Linked DNA regions of Drosophila melanogaster. The protein of the gene in region 1 interacts with the protein of each later gene in a pairwise test. Each region holds a gene or a part of one and is shown in the gene's direction. Other genes may lie near its edges.

Region 1 (7,216 bases):
GATATGAAAGTATTATGGCTAAGCTACTCACTTTCTTTTACAAAACCCATTCCGGCTGGCAGGCAAGTCTGTAGAAATGGCGGTAATTTGGACGAATTTACATGAGGATCCAACTTTAGGGCATCAATCTCGAATTCACAACTCCATCCGGTTGTGGTAACGTCGCAATCTCGGTTTATCTTCGAACAATTCGCACATTGCATTTTTTCATAGAAACTGTGGACGTTGGTAATATAAGCGGCTATAATCCAAAAAAGTTTCCCAAACATATCGGATACCAAATGTGTGTATTTCTTCAAGGACTGCTGGGTTTAAAAATTACATTTTTAAAATTTTAAAAATTAAATTTTTGGAATCAAAGTGCTAATATTTCCAATTAGCACTTAAGCTAACTTAAATCAAGTTTACCCATAACGCTACCTTTTCAACATTTTAACTCTAATTGCATATTTACGTAACCATTTCTCCCCAAAATCAAAATGGAATCAGATAAACAAAATGCGAACTAAAAACCGAAAACCAATCCAAAACCCCACACTTTCAACATAAAATCCCTCCACTTTCGAACCAACCAAAGGCCCCAATCTCATCCCTTTACCCTTCGACTCGCTCTATGTTTGTGTTGTTATATAAAATAAACTATTCCGGAATAACACAAATCATACGGGGGGCCAGAACAAACGAGGCTGGACCATTGCCAGGTCATGTTCCACGTTTCCCCCCCTTGTGCACCACCCATAAATGTTAGTTAACTGCACGTGGATGAGTAGATAAATATGGTATAATGAAAATAAAATAAGAACCAGATAGAAACTTGGTGGAGGGTACGCGGGGGGGCGATAGAAACAACAGCAATCAGTCGTCATTGCAGACATCGCACTAATTTTGAGTTAGTTGTTGGGAAAACATTTTCGGCTTGAGTTTGGGTTTTCCCGAAAATTGGGAGTGAGTCAGTCGGGCTTCATTTTTGTACGTGGGCAAGGAAAATATACTTTGGCACGTTTCTTGTTAGCGAACAGTTTGCTCCATTCCCTGGACTCACTTAACTCTTTTCCTGTCTGGACATTGCATTATATATGTATGTAGTACATATTATGGGTTCTATTTATTTGAGTTCCAAGGTCTGCTCCTTTTCAATTGCTTTGTCTTTCTGTCAGCTTAAAATTGGGAATTAGTTAAATATGTTTATCTTTAATATTAGATTAAAGTAAAGAGAAATCCCTTGTAAGGAGAAATCCGCCTATTTAATCTGCCCAATATCAAGTTATCAAGGTGAAAATCGATTGTATCTAAAATCGTAAGATAACGCCTATGTTAATGTATTCCATAGACTTCCATTCAATTTGATGTCCTTTGCTACCGCATTCAATTCATTTATAGCCACCCGCCATCTTCTTAACTCTGAGCCACTTGGCCAACCATTCATGTCCACTTAGTAATCCATCAAGGGAACATTAAAATCGTCTCATCTGGCTGAGCGTAGGTCGTAAAGAAAATGCATTATAGGGGCATTACGGCGGTAGCGCCAAACTGCCAACCGAGTTATAAAAGCGCCATGAAACGAGACGTTTATTGTTATCGAGATTATTGATTTCTGGCCGGGCTTAAAGCTGCCTTTTGGCCGTTTTGTGGATCGTGGATCGCTGCTCGTCGAGTGCCTTAATTGCTGGCCTAATCATCTGCCAGACTTCCTATAACCTATTGGCCCTCCTCCATACCACCACTCCCTTTGGCAGCCATTAAGGACCTTTCGAGCCTCCGAGCACTCCCACTTTCCACTCTCCACTCAAGTTGATTATGAAGATTCTTTCGTCTTTTGCCTGCTGAACTTGCTAGTTGCTCAACACTCCATAATGATGGCAATTATAGCCTCGTTTTTCCAACAATTTATATGAAATTTGCTGCTGCCAAGCTCACCCCCCTCTGTCCCTAGCCACTCTTTCTCACCAAAGCCACGCCCCTTCGATGGACATTTTCAGCCACTTAGCCACGCCCCATGCCATCAGGCTATCTCTGTCGCGCTTTCGTGTTAACTGCCAGATACTCCATCTTGAAAGCGGGTTTCCAGAGAGCGAGAGAGAGAAGCAGAGCGGTACTGATTGCACCACCGTTGCTGCTTCACACTGGCATTCCGTATCGCGTATATGATACCACGTTTGGCTACCAGCAGCGCACAGTCGTTAATGAGCGCTCGTCGAGTTCGCTTCGCAGGAAATCACAGCTCGCGTTCGCACGCGTGTTCGTAAAATCGTCGATTTCGAAACGTGTTGGAAAGTGTTTGGAAATTTTGAGAATATATACATATATTCGAAAGAGTATAGAAACTGAACTTTGGTGAACCGAGTGAAGCATGTCCAGTGCCCAAGTGTCGCAACAGCCGCCTCCACCGCCGCTGACCGCCAGCAGTAGCACCTCAATGCCGTCGCAATTGCTACTTAGCCACATTCAGCACCACAGCAGCAGTCTGCACCATCAGCGCAGTCATCAGCGATCATCGCCACCTGCCCAGGACTACGATCAGGGCAGCAATCAATCAACACTCTCGCCCAGATCCCAGATAACACCCAGTCCGCCGGCAGCCAGTCCCACGCATTCGGCGGCCACCACAGGATCACCAGTTAGCACCTATACACCGGCCTTGAGTCCCGGTGGTGCACAGGATAGCAGCCAAACGGAGAGTGGTCAGAGTTCACAGATGCCTCTACTAGTGGCTCCCATGCCCGTGGGCACTGGTCCGCCACATTCACATCCACCGCCGCCGCATCCTCGTCTCTATGTGGAGGGTTTCCCGCCACCGCATCATGTGCCACATCCACATCCCGCCCTGGGCACCTATCCTCTGCCACGACTGCCCCTTATGTTACCGGCAAATCCACCAGGTGTGCCATCGGGAGCGGCTGCACCACCGCCCGTCTCACCGCAACCCGCTGCCAATCACCTGAGCCACAGTGGAGCCACCATGGCCACAACCACACTCCTGCCACCCGCCCAAAGTCAGCCCAAGAAATCCTTCTGCATCGATGCTTTGCTGGCCAAGAGCCAACACCAGTCGGGTGAGCCACAGCCCATCATTGTGGATGATCGTCTGGCTGCCCTGCACTATGCCCGGGATCAGGCGGAACTCAATCATGCCTTTGTGACCGCCTCCAATGCGGCGGCAGCTGCTCAGGCGGCTGCCTCGGCCGCCGGCGGCATCAGCGAACAGGAGGCACTGCAGCGCATCCGGGACTCCAGGGAGTACGACTCACCCAGTCCCGACGGCATGTCGAGGTGAGTAAAGAAATTTGGGATGAGCATAACTATAAGGAAGATTTCAGAGGGGGTTTGAAAAGAAAAGCATATTAATAAGGCCTGAAAAACTTATTATGAGTGATCAAAAAATAGATAAAGTTTATTACTAATAACGTTACACTATAAAATGTTTTTAAAAAGGTAAAGGTAACTTGTTTATTATCACTATTACTTAATTTGTTTTAGTAATTAATTTATACTCATGATAAATTTCAATTGTTTATGAAACTATTCATTTGATTGTCTATACTATCTGTCCTGATAATTTAATTAGTCACTTATTACAAAGTCTTACCAATAGCTTTGGGTTAAATAATACAATTTTTCGCCTAATACGAACACTTGCCTCATATTATTACTCATATGCATTACTTTGCTTGCTAATACCCAGAATTTAAAAACGATTCGTATAAAAATGCAGCTCTTACCAAAAATCCCTCAACTTCTTGTTGAAATCCCTTGGCTGGCTACCAAACAAAACCGTGGCACTTGGTAAAAACCATTCTGAAAGCCAAAGCGAAGCCCCAGCGAAGCTCCAAAGCAGCTTTGCTGGCACTCGAAAATATGGCAATGAAAAATGTATTCAATTGGTCAATTCCAATTTGGTCATCAGCCACAGAGATTACGTATACGCCATGTGTCTGCCGTCACAAGTGTGTGAGTGGCTAATTTAAAGTGCGAATTGTGTACAAAGAAGCAAACAAATTAGAGGGAGGGCGGCGGTAATATTAATTGTTTTCAAAATGTGTCGCGTAATTTCGATTGTCGAAATCGATTGGTTAGATAATTCGCAATAAAGGGTGCCCCATTAAGTTTTTTCCCACAATTTTTTTTATTTTTGCAGATCAGAGTCGCCCACTTCGTCGCACCGCTCCAGTCCGCCCATCAGTCCCGGTTGTGAGGATCAGCAGCAGCCCCACGGTGCACTGCATCCCCAGCATCTGTCCATGCGCATGTCCGACTTCCACGACGAGTTCAAGAAGCCAATACCACCCCACAGTCCCATCAGACCCCAGGATTTTCCGCTCTACGCAGGAGGACATCCCTACCAGCTGCTGGCCCAAGGTGGATCCGCCTTCCACAGACCTCTGGATCCCTCAGGGAAACCCATTCCGGTAAGTAAAACATTAAATATATATCAATATTACAAAGTAACTATTGTAATAAAAATTTTAATACGAAATAGATCAATATATACAATACTATCATACAAATCATTTGCATCGTATTTTCCTTATTTATCCATGCAGATACCCATGGGTCATAATTTCATGCCGTCGCAGCTGCAATTCGAATTCCTGGCCCGCGCCGGAATGCTGCACCATCGAATTCCCGAACTGGCCGCCTATCCGCATCATGCGATTCTGGGCAAGACCAGGAGACCACGAACGGCCTTTACATCGCAGCAACTCCTCGAGCTGGAGAAGCAATTCAAGCAGAACAAGTATCTGAGTCGGCCCAAACGATTCGAGGTGGCCAGCGGTCTGATGCTGTCCGAGACGCAGGTGAAGATCTGGTTCCAGAATCGTCGGATGAAGTGGAAGCGCTCCAAGAAGGCGCAGCAGGAGGCCAAGGAGCGGGCAAAGGCCAACCAGCAGCAGCAGCAGCAGCAACAGACGCCCAGTGCCGCCAGTTAGGAGTTGTAGCAGTAAGGAGAAGCAGCCGGAGGATCTGTTGGATCTGGAGGAGTGGTCTCCAATCTAGTCATGCCGCGATCAAACCGCCGTCCCACCATTAAAACGAGACACCCTGTATTCTTGCCCCCAGTTTCATTCGCGCAATCGGTCTAAATCTTTTTTGGGTTTTTTGCACTTTGATTTCGCATTATTATTTTTATTTTGTGCCACAACAACTGGTCACTGTGTGATATATGTGTGTGTATATGTAAACAAGAAATATAAATTAAATTCATTACCCCCTTCTTTTTAGCCCCTTTATGTACATAAACATAAATCTAAATAGGAACACGAACATAAATAACAAAGTAAACATAAATCTAAACTAAATGAGTAATGCTTAAGTAAATAAATTACATTAAATGCGATTAGTTTAGTTGGTAATTTACAATTTGCTTGTGTAATTTGTGTAAATAATTGTAATTATGTAATTGTAGTATTTAATATTAACGAAAACAACAAGAGCCATTAAGAAAAATAACAAATATAAAGTGTATAATAACGCATTGCGATTGAATTAGTTAATTTTCTAGATTTTATTTTCGAAATCAAAATTGGAAAAAATAAATAACTAAAAATATAAGCTTACAAATTTTAATAATTGGGATAAATTAAGGAACACAAATGTGGCAAGGTAAGATATGACTTATAACAACTACTTTAAATAAAACTTAAATTAACTGGAAATCTACACGATTGACTTGCTGAGAACTATTCCACTTAATTCAAGAGAATTTGAAGAATTTTTGATAATACAACTAAAACCATAAACTAATTTTTGCCATAAAAAGCAAAGCAATGATTACGATTGCCAGAAAAATGTATGAAGCGAAATGCACTGAAAAATATCCCAAAGTAACAAGTAGAAATAAACATAATTTATATATATTCTAGCAAATATCTAATCTGACTGGCTTTGAGAGCTGTCTGTGGCTCGAATTTATAAATACACGACGGCCATAAAGAAAGAGCTATTAGCCACATATTCGTATACTACCAATCAAAATTCTACTCAATTTCTCGCCCTTGCGATAATGCCTATCGCAGCAAATAAATCAAAATGTGCGCAGATAATCAAGTTAATTGCTGAGACAATAATTATGACTAAATTTATAGTATCACTTCAAAATTATTTCGCTAATTAAAATGTAGCCAACTTCAGGCGAACAACGAACGCACTTCTTAGTTTCTTGGCTTGTTGATATCGATTTGGTTTATTTATTTTTTTTTTTGGCCTGCGAGTGTGGCAAATTGAAAAAATCATGGTGAGCTTCGATTTCCGGCAGAATAAGAGTCATATAAAGTGTTATTATCAGGCAATACCATACAATTGGTTGGAATACAATACAATACAAGTTTTTGATAACCGCTTGAATTCGGTTTAACGTTCATCAGCTACTGAAGTGATTGATAAGTATTTACATAAAATATAAATTATTATATATATATATATATATGTTTAGTTCTTATCAACGTAATTTTTAATGTAAGCTTCTTTTGAATCTTTTATCAAGCAATCAAATAATATATGATTTAGTTCCTTTATTACTATACATACCATTATCCTGCTCATTGAAGATGACATAAAGTGCGAACTCACTTGGTATTGTTCTAGCCACTTTCGATTGCATTTCCCATTTCCCATACCCAGTACCATTTCCATTCCCACTTCCATTCTGATGAAGAGAACTCGTCTGTCCACTTTATCACGTAATTCTCAAGTATTTCATAGACTCGCACACGACGGACTTTACGGGTTTTATCGACGCTGTTGGTTTGCCTTGAAGTATGCTTTATATTGTTATTATTGGTTGTTTGATCTGTTGCTGTTGTTGCCGTTATTGTTGTTATTATGCAGCAGTTTCTTGTTTTCTGACGGGCTAATAAAAATTCATTTCGTTCCTCTGCTTGCCACTAAACACGTAGCGCATTCTTGGCTGAGTAAATGAGTGGAGCACACATTTCTATAGAAGGGTACATATGTGTGGTACAGTGGGTAAATCGTATGAAAGGCATATACAGTTTTAACTCATATTTAAACTTATCTATCAGATATTAGCTACTCAACAAGAATTTCCAAATTGGGTTGGTTTCTATCCTTCGCTCAGCAGCTTTTCGACAGCTATACAACTTTACTGCTTAATATTTAGAGATCATAAATATAACATCTTTCTATAGTTTTGTAAACTATTTATTAGTTTATAAATATAATAAACACTCAAAAAAAAAAAAACATTACAAAAATATTT
Region 2 (4,881 bases), on another chromosome or scaffold:
GATGGCGTGCAGGCCGAGTTCCTTTAACAGCTTGATGGTATCCTTGGAGTTGTTATCGTCGCCCCAACAAAACAGCACCAATCCACGCTCCTTGGCCAGATTCACCTAAAAGCGTCCGTAGCTGAATGATTCACGATTCGAGAGTGGATCATGTTACCTGACTGGGATCTCGCAGCAGGTCCTCCGTGTGTGCCACAACACCCAGGAACTCCATGGCCACCGCGTGCCACACGGCCAGCTCCATGGAGTTGCCCCTGGGGTCCATATACTTCTGGTATTTCGTCGTCCTGCCGAGAGTTAGGAACATGACAGGGTATCGATTTTGCTTGAATCTCAGAATAGTGCAGATATCTGGATCAAAACAACTCAGTACTATCCTGCGATTCCCTGCCTTTCGTAGGATGACATCCAATATGCAATCGATATAGAGATTTCTGTCCACCACATGCTCGAATTCCTCCTCCATTTTGCCGTCCTCTAGCCTCTGAGACCACTTAATTTCTATGTTGAAACCCACATGGACATCTAGGGCATCCAGGACATCGCATAGCTGCGGAAACGGCTGGTGCTCTAAACAATCATCGTTGTGAAACGAACGCGTCTCCCTGGACAGACCCTCAGCAATGTGATAGACTTTCAATTTCTTCAACTGCTCCAGGGACAACTCCCTCATCGGTAGAGCGAGGAAATCGTGCTCCTGCAGACTGCACTTCGACTTTAGTGAAACATAGATCATGAAATCGTGATACACCACTGGCACCAGATCCTTGCTAAGTTGGACATCGAACTCCACCATGTCGGCACCATGCTCTGCGGCATTCTTCAAAGAAGTAATGGTATTCTCCCGAATAACAGCGTCCTTGGCCTTGAAACTAGTTCCGGAACCACGATGGCCCACATCCAGTCCCGTCCACTTGCTGTTCCAGTATCGGGCATAGCTGACACTCATATCCATTAGAGCACACAGCGATGAGGGCTTCACGATAAGATAACCAAGACGCATCATTCCCAGAGGTCGATGGCCCTTGGCACAGGTTATGGGCAGCTCCAAGTTGCCTTCAGAACGTTTAAAAAGATTGGGCAGCACATAATGATAGCCCAAGTGGTTCGGTGGACCATCTTCCTTGGCCACCCGGGAGCTGTAGCTGTACAAATCAATCAGGTAGGCCGTGTTCTCGAAGTCTCCAACGGTCAGATGGAATATAACCAAATCGGTGGGTCCACAGCCGGTGCCGAACTGCTCTTGACTTCTGATTTCGCACTCGTCGGCACTCAAGGTGACGACCTCGCTAAAGGCAAAGGCTGTGGAGGATTCACCGCCGTTCTCCTTGGTATCATGAGTGTCGTTCGACAAGGAATCCTCCATGGGAGACGAGGGCAGCATGGTATCACAGCCGGCACTGGGAATACTCAGGTTCATGGGCGTCACTTTGACCTGGATATGCCTACGTTTCATGCGCTGCTTAAACGTGAACGGAGCATAAAAGAACTTTAGCTGCACCAGAGTCTCCTTGGTCAGCCAGCCCCGATCCACCTTCTCCTGGCCATTGAACGAGCCAAATATGTCACTCTGATTCTTGGCAGGCTGCTCATCCAACTCCTTGACTATTCGGGGCTGTAAGGAAAGGGAATCTCTTAGCAATGTTATTGGGCTAGCTCCAAACCATGAATCCCATACGAGTGCATACAAATCAAATCCGATCCCAGGTCCAGCTGGATTTTTGGACTCTACTCGTATAGGGTCGGTCAGTACATAATGAATTTGTGAACCTGTAATTGCGTTTCCCAACGGCGGACAATCAGCTGCTCCGTGCCGGGATCGACGGCACAGACCATATAGCGATATTCCGTGTCACAGTGACGCGGAATATAGATCTCTCCTGTCCACAGATTACTATACTCATTGTCCTCCTCATTTTTGGACAAAATAGCCGCTCCCGAGTGCTGCCAGTTGCCCAGCGCCTCGCAATTACCCACTATGGCCAACTGCTCGTTGGGCGCCAGATCCTGGTTCATCAGCACCCGAAAGGTCCACAGTCTGTTGGTGGTAATGTCGCCAAAGATCCGGCGGGACTCCAATCGACTGCCGTTTTCCGAGGACGCAGGACAGGATGATGGCGCAGCCATCGCATCCTCATCGCCGTTATGTGAGGCCAGCCAGTTGTGCATTCTGTGGGGATGGATAATAATTAATATCTATATATAATCCTTAGCTATATACACTTTGAATAATAGTAGTTAGCAGCAAAGAACTAAACTAATTGTTGAAACTCAGTATAATTGTATTGTATTGCATGCGCACAAGTAATTTATGCCAACTCTCTCTTTTTTTCGAGTACTACTGTGCTCGTTAGCGTATACGCACTGTACTTCAATTATTTTCAGCTGCGGTCACAAGTTGTTTATTGTATCGAGCGCAAGTAATTCGAAGATATTAACACAACATTAATTTCACTTGCAGTCCGCAATTGTTTTTGGTTTCCCTTATCAGTGGATGACGTAAATAAATAACTTGTATCACTTACTTTGCGTTGTTGTGTGCTGAAATAGAAGAATAAGCCGAAATCGCTTTGTTTGGATTCGATTTCTCGCTCTCCTCCACTTTCTCTCTCTTTGATTTTCCTAGATTTTCTGTGATTTTCCTACGCGTACACGAAACTATAACAAACGTGTGCAAATTGAGGAGTCGCCCGATTTTTTGATCATAGCAGCTGTTTTTGGTTTTTGCTCACGGATTTCAGCTAACAACACATGATGTTTTTCTCTTTTCGTGGCGGGGGGGCTTAACTCTATAATGTGGATATAACTTTATATTATCTGAACGATTTCAGCGCCGCAGGGGCTTCCGATCCCCTTGAAACTGTGAGTTGCATTATTTTGTTATCTATATATCCACTGACCGATTCTAGCGAGGGATGTGAAAAGTATTTGAATGTCAAGATATCGATAGGTTTTTGATGAAGTAAATATTTTCACAATGCTAAATGCCTAAAGCACTTAAAAATAGTAGATGCCTTTTTAGATATATACTACATACTACTTACTTACACGCACTTAAAATACAAGTTTTATATTTGATATTTGAGCGCATTCTCACAGGTTGGCAACGCGAACAGCTGATTTTTAGGGTGACCGTCTTCCGCAACAGAGTATCTCACAGTTTTCGAAAAGTATCTCAGCAATTTAGGCAAAGTTTCTGAACTTTCAGTTACTACTTAATAAAAAGTTTGTTGGTTGTTTACCTAGCTCAAGAGATTCTTTCAGATTTAATTTAATAAAACCGGTAGCTTAGGATTATAAAATTAACTTTGACTTTATTTAATGTCCCTCCCGCGCGAATGCAGCTTAGTAAAAATGAGTCATAGTGTTCAGATCTGCCTACATTCCAGAAGCTTGCAGTATTCAGTAGACATCAGTCGAGCGCAGAAGCTCTTCGTGATAAGACGTCTTCAATTCAAATTTTTTTTATCGAACACACCATGGAGGGGGACAAGGTAGTTTTTCATAGTTCTGATCTACCATACGAATATTTATACGACGACGAAAAACACGTTTCGCACATGCCGGATTCCAAATTAAGTGTACGAAATATTTTGGATTCAGCTTACGCTTCTGCTGAAGGCAAAATTATAACTAGGAAACTTTCGCGCAGCATTCCGCCGTATCCGCATGCTGTTCGAGTAAAAAATGGCATTCGTGTTTATGAATACAGTGAGCCCAGAAAACAGAGCTACAAATCAAGTTTATGGAAGGAGGCCTACAATGTGAGTAGGAATCGAAGAACACATGCTGGACATTTTACTTGCTTTATTTCAGATACTCCACCAGCGGTTGGATATTGCCGAGCCAATCGCAGCAAAGGAACACGTGAGAACGCAGATACATCCGTGTCTGCACAAGATCAAAGGACTTCTAGATCCGGAAACCTGCATCAAGTGTCCGCGGTGTCATAAGTCCATTTCGTCCACCAAAGTTGTGAAAAGCTTTGCATAGTGACGAATGCAAGCCACCTTCAACATATATATCTATTATAGAGGTTCAATATATGCTCAAATCAACACATGCATTTATATATATATATAATATAAACAAAGAATGCAACAGCCCTACAGATGAATCGTCATTTTCTTCTGTCATTTTGCTAGCTGTAATTAAAAGGGAACGGGAAATGTGCTCTCGCTTACTGATTATAGATAATGACTTTGATTTTGAAATAAGGAATGCAAAGAATACTCATTTTCGTATTCACTTCCATTTTGGCGGACTTTCTTTATCAGTAAACAAAGTGGAAGAAGAAGAAACGAGAAAGGTAAACAAGTCAATACAAAACAGTTGTTTGGAAAATGTGCCATAGTTACCAAGTGCCTGCACCAATTTTAATATCAAAACCAATTATTGAAACTAGTTATATAAGTATTTTTATTTACATTCAATGCATTTATAAATAAAATAAATCAAATAATTTAAGCTTACTAAATCAATCAGCTTGTGACAGCCATCACTTTGATAACGATAGTTGGCAACTCTGCCATCGAACAGCTGTTAATGTTTGCCATTTTGGCGCGAAAATACCAGTGTAACAATTTGTTTATATATAATAGGATTTTATTAAGTTGTTTGTTGGACGCTCGTTTGAAACCAGTATGGATCAGTATCCGGACGAAAACGAGGAGTTCGAGCTGCAATACCAAGACGAACTAGAGCTGCTGGAGGACTTGCCGGACGAGTTTAACGCGTACGATGGACCGAGCACATCCAAACAGGCCGCTGAAAAGCAAAAGGAAAACAGAGCTCCCGTTGCGGCACTAAGAGATAGCACCCGTCTTGGAAACTCTACACTGGGATCGCCACAGCTGTCGCAGATTACCTTTGGAGCTAGCC
Region 3 (7,080 bases), on another chromosome or scaffold:
TGATCCGAGAAATAAAAACCAAAAAAAAAATATACAAATAAAAAACAGGCAGGGAAATCCGAGAAGAGCCAACGGAATCTGTTTGATTGTGTCGTAAAAAAAGCGAAACACTCCTATATGATTTAAACTGCATGTTTTGTAAAAATCTAATTTGATAATTGGTTGTAATTTATGAGTCTTGTCTGCTCGCCTGCAACATAAACACCACACGGAATGACGGAATGACGCCTTTTACTCCTCGAGCTCCTCCCCAAGCATGTTTCCCAGAAAAGTGCACCAAGAATTGGAAACTGGGAGCCCACTTCCCATCCACGGACTCCGAATTCGAAACGAGCGCACATTAAATTAATAATATGCAGTTCATTCTCTCCCGTTTTTTTTTTTTTTTTCTTAATTATTATTTATATCTGTCAGTTTATAAGGCGTAGGCTGGTTTTTTGGTTTGCCGGAGGCAGTTTTATGAATGAAATTAACAGCATAAGATGGGTGGAGATCCCAAAATTCATCACCGATATTTATGGCGGTCTTTTGGCAGGATAATGCAATCTGCATTTAATTTCCGCATTAACGAATACGTTCAAAAATATAGAAAAATTTAAGTAGTTTTCATTTAATAATACAAGCTGCTTAACAGGCAATATGTATAAAAAATTATACATATTTATACCACCTGATTGAATGCCTTCTTAATACTTTCTCTCTGCGGTCTGTTCTACATAGTTTCTAAGTACCTAATCATGGTATCATATTTCCATAACCAGCTCTAATAGGTCTTCACACAAATTAGCCTCGAGGCAAACAAATAGACAGCCCAACGAATCAATCAGGATACAGTTTCCCAAGGAGTTCAATGCTCGCCCGCAAAAGGAGTTCCAACATCACCTTCGGCGTAATCGGAAACCACACGAATATCCGAGAGTCAATGGCGTGGGAGTGTCACCGATGCCCGTTCCAGATACAGATTCAGATACAGATACAGATGTTAGTCCGGAGCAGCCCAATGATCGATGTGGCAGCGAGGCAGCAGTTAGATGTAGCTAACACCCTGCAGGACTTGATGCATCATTAGCTGGATGCGATGACAAAAAGAGGGCACAAAAAACATTGAAATTCTGGCCGGAGGACGGACTGTTCCACGCGACTGCCAGTGCAACTCCGGACGTGATTTATGCTGCGTGCGCCTGACAAACACTCGAGAAGTGATGATTTATAATGAAGATGCATGCTCGGTTATTAATTAAATTCTGACGCGACTGCGCTCCATTTAGTCTTAAATGCGAGAACCAAACAAACTGATCTTTAGTTAGCCTAAGGTTATGGTTGTCGTCTTACGCAATAAGGGCCAAAAGATCCTTAATTGATTCGAAATTCCAGAGGCAAATTCCAGTGCAAAGTGGTAAGAGGTATGCAAAATATGTTATGCTGAGAATCTTATAATAATACTTAAACATATCTGCAAGTTCATTTCCTTCCTCAGATTTCTCTGATCCAGTTAGGAAACTTAATATATTGACTTAGCCAAAACAAGATAGAATAGAATACTTATGTTCAGATGTTCGGCTTGAATGTGATTCCATAGATACCCATGGATAGATAGGTTATAAAGTAGCCAACAAATTGGTAAATACTCAAAAATGACGAAGTCGAAACAAAGTCTGCATTCTGTTTGGCAGTGGAATTTGAAATATGGCAAGCAATAGTCGAATATTCATTAAGCGCAATTATGAAAATTAAGTTGTCATTTTGATTTGAGTGCCCGCGACACTCGGGCATGCGGCCTCATAAGCAGATCTAGATCCCCCCCGCATCCGCAACCGAATCCGAATCCCCGCCAGAATTCTCATTAAATTAAATCAAACTGACAGCCCGGCCGGCTAAATGGATGCCCTGCGATTCGTCCCCTTTCCCCTTTTTGCTCCGCCATCTCGGCGACTAATTAACGTGTTTTCAGATATTTTGTTCAAATCGCGCCTGAATAATGAAGACGTTATCATGGGGCATCCGCGCATCCAGGAATGGGCACCCTGTAGCCCAGTAGATGTTGTGGATTTGGCTGCTGGCCAATTGGAAACTAGTGTCAGCCAGGCCGCCGGCTAATTTCTCAGATCCTCCCCTCCATTCGGATCCTGAGTGCCCCTTTTCCATTTTCCATTCTGTCTGAATTATGTGTTCATAATTTCGAATTAATGAAATTTTTACAGGGGGCTTGGGATTGGGATTCAAAGAAATAGAAAGTTATAATATGAAATATCTGTAAGGAAGGTGTTCTAAAAACTCAACAATTAAGTTATGATTCAAAAAATGTTGTGCTTCAAAATTACTGTTTCTCAGATTTAAATTGAATATATTATACACATTAAAAATGTTTCTCAAGCTAGTAGAACCCAATTATGCATTGCGTTACAATCACTTAGACTAATGGCCTTGTATTACTTTGTTAAGAGATTTAAAAAATTCCAAAAAATCGACAAAGAAACCATTTGTACATTTGAATACAATTTTTTGAATGCTGCATTGTTTAAAGAATTCTGAATTAACCCAAAAGAGGACACGTGCCTGCACACCAAAGCACTGAAAACAAATCCAGTCAAAGAAATTGCTCGCCGTTCATTAATCAAATGGATGAAATATGTTGGCAAACGTATTAAATATATTTAGCAAAGCCATCGAAATATTAAATAGCGCTACTTGTAGACAATTAGCCAAAAATTATGACTTTTAATCACGGGCAAGGCGACAAAAACAATTTCGAAAACCCAGAAGACGGCGTTGAACGCGAGCCACGCCCCTCATCCCAAACATTTCACACATGTTTTAAAAATAACCGAACTTGTGTGCTGTCTTCAGTGAAAATCGAATAGTATGTTTCTGTTCCTTTCTGTCGTTCTATTTGCGCATATGGTGTGAGCGGTGCGGAGATATATGATTTTAGGCTCCGCCCCGCCAGGCGATCATCTTGAAAAATCGGCCAGTGAGCAGGATGCTCCGCATATTCAAATTAGTTTTCCGTAAGATCTCCACGCGCGCTGTTGTCTCCGGAATATCTTCAAAATATATATCGCTCGCAATCGGCGGAAACATGAATTCGCAATCGGCAGTGCGTCGCTATCCACACAGTTTTTCCATCGAACAAATTCTGGCCAAGCCGGAAATGCGCAGCTCCACTTCCTTTGAGGACTCCGTGCAGGATGAAAGCGGTCGCGGTGGCAATTGTCTCGGTGCTTCACGGGCTTCCAGTCCGGCAACATCGAGTTGCTTGGATGACAACATGGACGACGGCAAAAGTGATATCGATTTGGCCTCAGATGATGGAAACGGTGCGTATGATCGATATGCCGGAATATAAGCTTTACAACGACGAGAATTTTGGTGTCTGGAATTGGATTTGGGATCTAAAAACTTAACTTAAAGCTCAATTGGATCCTTATTAAATAGCAAATATACAAAATATAGATTTATACTGAACTTCATCAGGATAAATAGCACCAACAGCCAAATAGTCAGTGCTTTAGTGCTTTTAAGTGTAGTATTATCAAGGTTCAAGGAATTATCAAGGATCTTTCAAATAATACAGTTACAATATACAAATTTTAAATTCTGAAAAAAAATGTCTCTAAAAGATGATTTACCTCCTAATGGAATCACCCATAACGAGCTCAGCACAGCCGTTCATTATTGTATGTAAATATGCAATGAGTTTCCCACCTGAACGAATGAGTGAGTGCCTATGGCTGAATGATCTCATCTGTCATCCGTGCGATCAAGAAACAAATGATCAGAAATTAGCTTCTGGGTGACAGGGAATAAGCCATCCATTCCATATCCACATTTTCGTCGACACCAACGCAGTCGACTAATGATGCAAATGTCACAAGCGAACAAAGATCGCTGGCGATCTCAAAGGAGATATTCTTCCACCCGTTAAGAAGGAATTTATATGGCTATTTGTTTTCGGTCGGCCAAGAGAATGTATGCCAAAATGGCCAATTAGACGCCTTGGCTAAGTGAAATGCAACAGTGTGATTTGCAATTTGCCAGGGGTTTTGCGGTGCGACGGGGCATTTTACATACACATACAACTGTGCCAACAACGGATCGACAAATTACCATTAGGCGAAAATAGTTGGCACCGCGCGCCGGATTGCCCGCTGTCGGTAGCAATAAATGTCTAATTGGGATTTCGATTTCCCACTTTGATTCCATTGCAGGCCTTGGTGATGACCGCAAAAAGCGACCGCGTACCGCCTTCTCGGCAGCTCAAATCAAAGCACTGGAAACGGAGTTCGAAAGGGGAAAGTATCTTTCGGTGGCGAAGCGAACTGCACTGGCCAAGCAGCTGCAGCTCACAGAAACGCAGGTTAGTTGTGGAATCTATCAAAAAATTTAATTACTACCCAAAAAAGTTTGCCATTCTATCTAAAAGCGATTAATAACATGAAATGAAATCCCTTGTATCTATGAGATACAATTGGCATTCCTCGTAAATAATTCATTCATTCATTTCACTTTTCAGATCAAGATCTGGTTCCAAAACCGCCGCACCAAGTGGAAGCGCAAGTACACCTCGGACGTGGAAACGCTGGCCTCGCACTATTACGCCCAGCTGGGTATCGGGGGATTGGCCAGGCCGATGGTGGTTGGTGATCGCCTTTGGCTCTTTAGCCAAACGCCAACGGGTCCCACGCCCATTCAGTCCATTATGCTAAATGGCAGTGGCTCCGCTGCACCCATGGCCTCAGCAACGACGGCCACCGGCTCACCCATGCGTCCGTACGCGACTAGCGGCGGAATGCCACCGTTGCCGGGTCCCAGTGTGATGGAGAGTGCCCGTAATGCCATACTGGCACGTGGACAACCCTTGAACTTCGCCCTGCCCTTTGGCGTGGCTAAGCCGCCGGCGGGTGGTGTGCCTGCGGCCAGCTACATCCCTCGCTGCAAGCCGTATGCGACCAGCTATGTGGACTACGCGGCGTCACTGCCAACGAACGAGAGCTATCTGCAAATGAAGTACGCGACGCTGCCGCCGGAAGCGGAAAGCGGCGCCTCCAATGGCCTCGCCGAACTGGAACGCGTCTTTGGGGATGCCAATGCCAACTTTCTGCAACAACGCAGCACGCCAGTCGCTGGAACAGCCACAGCCTACGGCCACGATGGATTAAATCAGGCGCAGCGGAGCCGCAGACCCACACAATCGGAGTCCGAGTGCAGCGACATTGACTGCGAGCATCTGGACGAGGATGAGGAGCCACCTGCTGCGGAGTGAAAAGGCGATTGGTTGTCTTTAGAATTTATGTTCCGTACGTCTCTCATACACACAAAAATATGCTCATACAAAGTGTAGTCATAGGGGGTAGTAGAGTAGGTGTCCTGTCTGGGTTGATTCCATTACAACTAGCTGAGAGTGGCACACTTTCAGATCTGGCCGGGATTACTGGCGTACCCCTGGTGGCTCAGCACTGGTCTAGTTTACGTTGTGGTTCTAGTACTAGTACTAGCGCTAGTTATTGCTATTCTATGTTACATTGTGTGGGTCGGGTACTGTTTACTGACTGGCTCTCAACAATTAATAAATGTAAATTAAATAATCAAAAATCACAAATATTACACGTCCGTTGCCGTTAGAACTCTAGTTGGATCAACTTAAATGCTACAAATTACACGCTGCATACTATAACTTAACCATTGCTATAACTATTTGCAATTTAACACGATAAATTGAGAGAGATAGACAGATAGAGAGAGCTGTAACAAAAGCGAACGACACTGACTTATTTACAATTCATTGCGTTGCTTGTGTGGCTGGTGTGCTAGAATGGAACACTTTTGGCTCTTGCCACACACAGTTCGGTTCGGTTGACTACTATACATAGTGGAGACTCATTTGATTTGATTTTGTTACGCCAACAGTAGGTCCGTAGGCTAGGGATCTGGAGCAGACGAATTGCGTTTTCTATCAGAAATCAGGGCTAGTACTCCAAGTACTCCTGCCTACGCGATGGCTGCGAACAGCGTCTACTGTTCGAGGAGATTCCATAGTTACAACTTAGCTAATTGGTCAAATAAAAATTAAAACTCATAGGGCTATTTTTGGTATTGCAAGCACGCGGAGCTAGCTGCGTGGTAATGGAAGTGGAGCTGGCGGTACTCTGTCCTTAGCGTCGTTAGCTCCAAGAGAGCTCGTAGCCCTTCCAGTTGGCGTTGGGTGCCAGATGCACGCGCCGTTTGTTGTAGTAGAAGGAGACGATGCCATGGTAGGCAGTCCGCGGAACACCGCTCTACAAAGATTAAGAATAATCATAGTTTCAAGCACATAGATTGATTGATCTACCTTGAAATCATCCATAAGACCCAGCATCTTAGTTGTCCGCTTGTACTGCTCCCTAGTAGTGTATTGAATGCGAACTGGACCTTCGATTCTGCAACACCATAATTGGAATTATGTAGATACTTTCTATATATCATATATCAACTCACCTAATCAGGTTTCGCCGCAGCTCATCGTACGTAACAATGGGATACGTATAAACGCGCCGCAGAAACGTGTTATCGTAATTGTCCTGAACATGAAATAGTTGTTAGTGTAATGAGGCAACAATGCACGGGTGTGTACCTACCTTCAGCAGGTAGCTCATATTGATTTTTGTAAACTGCACAAAGTCCTCGCTCAGTTTAATGTGCTTCAGATACTTATCGAAGAACAAACCGCTGTTAAACAACAAATTATCATTATTAGCTGGCACGTTGCATTGTTAGCTAGCTATATCTCTTACTTGGAAACGCCTATTTTTCCAAACGTGCGAGTGCGTGATATTTCGGGCCTAATGCACACGCGATCTTTGCGCTGGGCGGGATGACGTATCCAATCATCCCAGAAGCTAGAACAGTTAATGAACCATTAGCGATTGGCTGGCAAACACCATAATTGCCCCACTCACGATTTGGGCCATTTGACCGACAGCTCGGCCCACAGATCTTTGGTGAGCATCCAGCCGAGACCGGGAAAGAAATCGGTGCGGTAGAGCAGCTCCGGCTGCGCGGCGTCCACAACAGCAGCCTTGCCATTGTCATTCCACGCGGACA

The links.
Region 2: the proteins of exex (region 1) and CG31955 interact in a two-hybrid assay, tested with the Drosophila melanogaster proteins (one large-scale study listed by BioGRID).
Region 3: the proteins of exex (region 1) and lms interact in a two-hybrid assay, tested with the Drosophila melanogaster proteins (one large-scale study listed by BioGRID).

The regions. Positions count from the first base shown.
Region 1 is NT_037436.4:7,946,016-7,953,231, forward strand, and holds exex (extra-extra), read left to right. Parts: upstream 1-2,170; 5' UTR 2,171-2,350; coding exon 2,351-3,270; intron 3,271-4,135; coding exon 4,136-4,406; intron 4,407-4,541; coding exon 4,542-4,928; 3' UTR 4,929-5,548; downstream 5,549-7,216. Other genes in the region: CG43880 (uncharacterized protein), read right to left, coding at 32-269.
Region 2 is NT_033779.5:3,711,381-3,716,261, reverse strand, and holds CG31955 (uncharacterized protein), read left to right. Parts: upstream 1-3,395; 5' UTR 3,396-3,479; coding exon 3,480-3,764; intron 3,765-3,816; coding exon 3,817-3,993; 3' UTR 3,994-4,036; exon of another isoform or gene 4,037-4,108; intron 4,109-4,193; 3' UTR 4,194-4,381; downstream 4,382-4,881. Other genes in the region: CG2818 (uncharacterized protein), read right to left, coding at 1-105, 158-1,615, 1,771-2,169; cutlet, read left to right, coding at 4,644-4,881.
Region 3 is NT_033778.4:20,553,879-20,560,958, forward strand, and holds lms (lateral muscles scarcer), read left to right. Parts: upstream 1-2,998; 5' UTR 2,999-3,079; coding exon 3,080-3,317; intron 3,318-4,208; coding exon 4,209-4,357; intron 4,358-4,513; coding exon 4,514-5,263; 3' UTR 5,264-6,075; downstream 6,076-7,080. Other genes in the region: Mgat1 (mannosyl (alpha-1,3-)-glycoprotein beta-1,2-N-acetylglucosaminyltransferase), read right to left, coding at 6,162-6,275, 6,329-6,416, 6,475-6,557, 6,615-6,705, 6,771-6,875, 6,936-7,080.